Canis lupus familiaris: one gene and its partner. The protein of the gene in region 2 purifies or fractionates together with the protein of the main gene of each other region. This does not show direct contact. Links are inferred from orthologs where the notes say so. Each region holds a gene or a part of one and is shown on either strand. Other genes may lie near its edges.

Region 1 (3,656 bases), on a different chromosome or scaffold from region 2:
TCGGACTTCAGCTTCACAGTCTTTAAGTAGGTTCTGAAAGGCAGGGATGAGGTCGTGTAGGGTGATTTTAGGGCCCACAGCTTTCTGGAGCTAGAAGACAATTTGTACAGGTTTTAATGTAAACTAACAAGTTAACTAACATGAATGAAACAAAACAGTGTAACCTTCAAGTACGTTCTTGCTACAAGCACTTCCAATTCAGAAGAATTAATTCAGAAACTTTTGGTACACAGCAAATCTGTGGGTTTCAAGATTTTTTTTCTCTTAGTACTTAAAAAACGTCAGGACAGTAATTTTACCTCTGAAAACTTATCAGCTACCATGTAGCGGACCCTCCAAGATTTATCTTCTGCTGCTTGCCGAAGCGTAGGCATCACCAAAGACTCGAGGTCCTCCTGAGACAGTAACTGAGCAATGCTGACACAGGCTTCCACAGCTAGGAGACGCACTGAATCCTACAGGAAGAAAATTTCTTTCTGTTGGGACACCTGGGTGGCTCAGTGGTTGAGCGTCTGCCTTTGGCTCAAGGCGTGATCCCGGGATCGAATCGAGTCTCCCATCGGGCTTCCTGTGAAAAGTCTGCTTCTCCCTCTACCTAGGTCTCTGCTTCTCTCTGTGTCTCTCATGAATAAATAAAATCTCTTACAAAAGAAATTTCTTTCTGTTAATCAGACAAGACTGAGGCAGAGCCACAGGGCAGTAGAGCATGCGTGGCACAGGGCAGTGCTATGGGTGTCCTTCAAAAGAAACGAAACAAAACACTCTACACAGCTTCATGTCTTTATGTCTTGAAACAGACTTTGCATAACAAATCCATAGACGTAGAAACAACCTTGTTCTAGTGTGAAAGTAAGGTGATTCCCTTGGTTAGAGTGCAAAATTTTTATTAAGGAAAATGAAATAAAAATGTAAAAATTAAATTTAAAAAAAAGAACATTTTAATGATATCTTCAAGGCCTTCCTATAATAAACTGTTGAGGGATTAAAAAAAAATGACAACTATACTTGAGCAAACTATTCAACACCTCACAAGAAAAACAAGAGAATAAGGGTAAGGGACAGGAAGCTAAGTTGTCAAAATTCTCCATTTGCACTGGCAGTGATAGTAGGCATGACATGATGACTTGGAAAGAAATACACAGAAAAACAAAATAGTAATTTAAAAAAAAAAAAAAAAAACCCACCATCCACTGGATTTCAATGTTAAGAATCAGGGACAGAATAACTGAGGTAGCCAAGCCTAGAAAAATTCAGCAAAACAAATTTAGAAATGTATAAGATGAATGAACTCAATGTCCTAAATATAAACTGCCAAGTTTCAATGTGATGCCTATGTGTCCCTGAGCAAGTAGAAATACTCAATTAGACAAATCAATGAAGAATTATGAATTGAGATTAAAGCTTTAGGAATCATAAATATGTAAGTAGAAGCTAAAAATACGTCAAGATAAGCACCCAAGAGAGACAGACCAAAACCTTGAACAGCATGTGTCTATATATGATTATGTATTTTTTATGTACAACATACACATACATCTACACAAGAGAGATAGTGACTCAACTTTCCAAAATATTACAAATTTTTTAAATTGCTGGTCAACAATAATTTACTATATGCCCAGAACACTCACTCCTCTATCCAAATGAATAAGCCAAAAAAGGCTAGAACTTGGTTCTTGGTAGTAACTATACAAATATTTTTGGAATCCAAAAACAATGTTAAATCAAGGGACTACTATGATCTATGGAAATATATACTAATAAATATTTGTTAATCCCTTTTCCCCTCTATACCTGCTCCTCCTCCCAAAATCTTCTCCATCTCAGCACCACCATCCAGACAGTATGGGCTCAAGCCAAAAATCAAGGTCTCCTTGATTGCTCTTCCCCTCATCCCACGCAATCCCACTGTAATCCTAATGATGCTACCTCTAAATCTGCCTCTAGATTCTCTGCGCCTTCACTGTACCACCCTTGTTCATCATGGCGTCTTGTCTGAATTATTGCAGAAGTCTCCTAACTGGTCTTTCTATTTGTAATCTCACCCTTACCCCTTACAATTCGGCTTTCACTCAGAAGCCAGAATATTATTTTTAAAATGTAAACTAGGACCCCTGTGATATGTCCCCTATCTTATCCAACCTCATAGCCTACCAGAGTCTCTATCACCCACTATGTTCCAAGGCTAGGTGTCCTCTCCTGGAATTCTCTTTTCCTGGAGCTCTGGCTTTCTAGGAAAGGGCATGGCTGGCATTTTCTTCTGTGTCTCAGTTTATATTACCTTCTCAGAGTCCTTCTCTAACCAGTCTAGCTAGATGAATGCCCTATAATCATTCCATATTACATCATCCTACTTTATTTTCATCATAGCCTTTATCGTTGTTAATGCTTTTTTTTTTTATCTGTTTACTATCTGTTTTCCTTCATCAAAATGTACACTCCATGACAGAAGGGCCTTTGTATCCCGGCACCACAACAGTGCCTAATATGTAGCAGATACTCAATAAATATTTTTTCAATGAATGAATAAGCCGGGAACAGCAATTCTATCAGTGTCAGATGGAATATACATACACATAATTTGACAACTAGGCACTTAGTATTTTTTCTAATATATCACAACTAGAAATTATATGTCTCTTAACAAAAAATACAATCCCACATATGAAGTGGTCTTAACACCCAAAAATATCAAATCTAAATCTTATTAAGCCTCTAGATCAGAGATGGGACAAACACTGCCTAAATCCAGGACTGTAGCTACCTTATGTAAATAAAGTGTTATGGGAACATGATGCCCATTAGTTTACACATTATAGTGCTTTTGTGTTACAAGAGCAGAGTTGAGTAGTTACAACAGAAACTGGTCCACAAAGCTAAAAATATTTACTACCTGGCTTTTTATAGAAAAAGTTTGCAAACCCTCCTCCCCCATACTAGATGCAACTATCAATTTGCAGGAAATACAGAGGACAAAGGAAATATTAAATTATACCATGAGAAGCATAATCAACAAATTCCTAAACGAAGATTCTAAACCTATGCTGTCCAATGTGGTAACCACAACCCCACATGTGGCTTCTGAGTAAATGAAGTATGGTTAGTGTCACATGTTCAAGTGAGGATTATTTTGGAAATATTGGGTTAAGTAAAATGAATTATTAAAATTAATTTCCCACTGTTTACTTTTTAAAATGTGACTACTAGAAAACTTAAAATGAAGTTTAACTTAAAATTAACCTACAATGTTTAAGTAAAAACATTACAAAGAGAAGCAGGAGGTGGTTACCAGGAAAGTCAAGATAAAGTATTATCCGAAGCAGGCAGAGTGTGACTATGTTTGGGAGGGAGCTTGTGGTGGGCTTCTAGGGTAGTGGCTCTCCAAGTTCCGTTTGCTAATAAGATGACTTTATCTTATTCATTGAATTGTATATTTTGTACTCTTTTCTGTTATTTTAATAACATTTTTAAATTATTTTGAAAGCAAAATTTACCATCTCTCAATCTTGAATCTGAAAATGACACTCATCAGTACGTATCTGGTGCTCCTGGTCCTATACATGTGAAGTGATTCTAGGGTACACACTAGGCAAATTAAGACTCTAAAAGGATTCTTCTAGAGTCCAGAAACTCTGGGGGCTGATTCCTCTGAACCA
Region 2 (3,349 bases):
CTCCCCATGTTTGGGGGTGTCCTTGGGAAGAAACTGGCAGCTGGCCACTGGCCGCCCAGCGCGTCCCCGACTCCACGTGAGCGCCTCGGGAGCTCTGACGTCCGACCCCTTCCCCAGGTGGATGGAGGTGATCGAGCGCGCCAGTAGCTCGCCTGCGCGGGCCGGGCCTTCCGAGGCAGCAGCATGAAGCCCGTCCTGCCCGACGAGGACCCAGACGAGCAAGCAGAGCGGGGTCAGCGCGTCCCTGACTGCGTGTCCTAAGGGCCACGGAGGCACCGGCCAGGGAGTGTCCGAGCCACGCCCTCCCCTCTCCCGGGGCGGCGCCCGCGGAGGACAGACAACAGGAGCCATGCGGTGCCGGCCGCACCCCGCGGGCCTCTCAGTTCTGGCTCCCCAGGGTTTCCTAATAAACTGACGTAAACGGACACACACACTGTTATTTGTTTGCTAACGGCCGGCTGTGCAGCCCGAGACAGGGCTCCTCCCCGCCCTCCTGCCCGCGGGCCACGCGGTCGCTGCGGGCCACGACGAGGACTCAAGCCAGGAACTGGGCCCCACCCGCCGCCAGCATCGCTCCGATTCAGGTCTTTATTGAAGGTGGCAGGAGCCTCTCCATGTTCTATGAAAACACCTCAACCTCAGAACGTCGGGGAAGCGAGAAGTCCGTTTTCTTTAAAAAAAAAAAAAAAAAAGTCCTGGCTGATCCGAGTACTTAGGAGGAGACACGGTACCTGATTGACACAAGGCAAACCTACGGCCAGCACGGCCGCCGCGGGCCCGGGGGACAGATGGGCCCGACAGCCTCCGCTGCTCCGTCCGGCGGTGGCTCCCCTGACGCTGTGCTGCAGGAGGCAGGGGTGGCCGAGCGCAGGAGCGGGGACTGGGGCCGAGGCAGCCGGACCGCGGAGCTCCACGCCAGCCCCTCCTCCCGGCTCTCCTCAGGCAGCGGCAGGCCTCAGCGGGTTGACGTCAGGTGGTTTCTGTTGTGGGAAAACCTGCGGAGAGGACGGAGGCCTGGAGAGTTGGCCGGGTGGGAGGCAGCCGGCGTGGGGGTCCGGGCGCCACTCCCTGAGCCCGGCCTCTGGGGACGGACCCCCACGGCCGCCCCAGGCCTCACCTCTGCACGCGCTCCACCAGGTGCGCCATCAGCTTGTCCGAGATGCCAGGACAGGACTCCTCCGCCAGGCTGAAGGCATTCTCCAGCTCTTCCAGTGCCCCCACGCCCCCGCCGCTCTGCTTGTGCTTCTCCTTGAGCTGCAAAGACAGCACCCGCCTCCCGTGAGCTCCGCCCACGGGCCCTCGCCGCCACGTGCATGTGCTGCATGTGCAGGAGCCCAGGCGCCAGGGGCCCTAACAGCCCTCCCACCACAAAGCTGGGCTGGCCGAGTCCCACCTGTCCCCATGGCAGGGCGGCCTGTTAGTGGCGGGCCGGGCCACCCAGGCTTCCTCCCAACTGCGGGCCGCAGAGGCCACGGCGGAGGTCCGCTGCTCGAGAAACCCTCCCAGAAGCCCTGAGGTCCCCACAGCCAGGTCAGGCTCGGCCTCCCCACCACCCGGGCCTCGAGAAGCCCACGGAGGGTCCATGCCCTCCAGCTGACCTGACAGGTAGCAGTCAGGTCAAGCCCGTGTCACACTCCAGAAACAAAAGGGGAAAGAGCCTGTGCATCTCCAGGAGGCCCCTAGGACGCCCCCCAGCAGCCTCAACTGCAGGCCCAGCCCACAGAGGCCACAGCGGGTGCACCCGACAAGCGGGATGAAGCCATCCCCCCACCTGTCCCAGAGCATCCTGGCGTGGGCACCTGCCCCAGGCCATTGAAGCACACAGCTGAGCCCCCTGACAGTCCAGCTCGTCACCTGCTCCCCTCTGACCTCCTCCCTCGCCCCACAGGCCCCCAGAGGTGGGAGCTCTCCTGCCTGAACCCAGATCCCCCCACCCCGTGTCTCGGAAAGGCACTCAGTGTCCCATCTTCCCTCCTGGGGCTCCAGGGGCTGCCATCACCTGGGGTGGGGAGTGCGGGCACCTGGCTACATTGTATTCCTGGGGCGTCAGCAAGCACCCATCAGCAGGGGGCACGTAGGGGAGTCACCCTCGGGGCCTCCCCGCCCTGGGCCTGATACCCAACTCCAAGAACTCAACCTCCCAGGCTCCCTAAACAGGACCATCCCGTGTGTCTGCAATTCAAAATAAAAGGTCACAAAACACAGTTTTTGTTCAGTCATCCTGAGACCCCCACCGGCCCCCAGGAGGCTGAGCACTCGGGGTGGTCGCAACCCCTTCTGCTCCCTTGCTCAGAAGGCCTGGCCCCCAGATCCCGGCCTGACCACCGTGGGCCCCGAGGGGTGCTGGCCGGCGCACGTCACCGTGACCCTTGAGGGGACACCGAGGGGAGTACCTGCAGAGAAGCACCACTGCCCTCTGCCCCGGCGACCCCCACGCCGGCCCTCACCTCTCCGAAGACAGGCCGGACCAGCGTGGACAGGCACTGGGACCTCGGCTGCCTCTTGACAGGCTCCGCGGACTGTGAAGTCAAAGCCACGGCAGGGTGGGCAGGGGAGAGGGCAGAGCGCGCCCAGGCGGCAGGCGTGCTCCCTCCCCACCTGTGCCCCCTGTGGAAGCACACACGCCAGGGTGCCTGCCACCCCCCGAACGCAGCCCCCCCACCTCCCCGCGCCAGGTCAGACCTTCTGGGGGCCGTGCAGGGCCGTCCCCTTGTGCAGCTTGCTGTGGGGGCTTGGCCGGATGGTGGGGGGGAACGTCCAGATGGGACCTTGCTCCCCGTCCTCGGCATCTGCATCGCTACGGTGGAAGGTGAAGGGCCGTGAGGGCCACGGGGCTGGGACCGGGGGAGCCCGAGGCCCACACCCGCTCAGCCTGCGTCTCGGAGGCAACCTCATGGCCCTCAGCCAAGGAGGCCCGCCTGGTGCCCACGGCACAACGCCCAGGGCTGCGGGGGCGCGCCCGCCGTAGGGGCCCCTACATGTCAGAGTCCTCGGAGCTCGACTCCTCGCCGTGCCCCTCCGACTTCCAGCGCTTGTAGCGGTCGATGAGCTCGGTGAGGAAGGAGGTCTTCCTGGTGTAGCGCGTGATGAACTTGTGCTTCAGGAGCTCCTTGGCGGTGGGCCGCTGCCGGGGAGAGGATGCGGTCACCAGGCGCCAGGGACGGCCGCACCCGCTGCTCCCGGGGCCCTTCCCCCGCGACCGTGCTCCACGTGCAGGCCCCACGCCCTGTGAGGCGGGGCTCGGGGAACCCCGTGGGGCTGTCCCCTGGAGCCCCGCCGCAGAGCCGCCTCCCAGCCGGCCCAGGGAGCAGGGCTTACGAATCGAGGGTCTTTGTTGAGACAGGCTTCC

What was found.
Region 1: the proteins of STK25 (region 2) and PPP2R1B purify together in Homo sapiens (affinity purification with mass spectrometry; 3 studies listed by BioGRID and IntAct, with this or other methods). This does not show direct contact. The link is inferred for Canis lupus familiaris from reciprocal best matches to the Homo sapiens genes STK25 and PPP2R1B.

What each region holds. Positions count from the first base shown.
Region 1 is NC_049226.1:21,363,866-21,367,521, reverse strand, and holds part of PPP2R1B (serine/threonine-protein phosphatase 2A 65 kDa regulatory subunit A beta isoform), read right to left. Parts: intron 456-3,656; coding exon 300-455; intron 91-299; coding exon 1-90. UniProt on the Homo sapiens protein: The PR65 subunit of protein phosphatase 2A serves as a scaffolding molecule to coordinate the assembly of the catalytic subunit and a variable regulatory B subunit.
Region 2 is NC_049246.1:51,483,106-51,486,454, forward strand, and holds the end of STK25 (serine/threonine-protein kinase 25), read right to left. Parts: coding exon 3,319-3,349; intron 3,125-3,318; coding exon 2,979-3,124; intron 2,798-2,978; coding exon 2,683-2,797; intron 2,520-2,682; coding exon 2,448-2,519; intron 2,205-2,447; exon of another isoform or gene 1,255-2,204; coding exon 1,118-1,254; exon of another isoform or gene 996-1,117; coding exon 956-995; 3' UTR 575-955; downstream 1-574. Other genes in the region: FARP2 (FERM, ARHGEF and pleckstrin domain-containing protein 2), read left to right, coding at 118-187. UniProt on the Homo sapiens protein: Oxidant stress-activated serine/threonine kinase that may play a role in the response to environmental stress.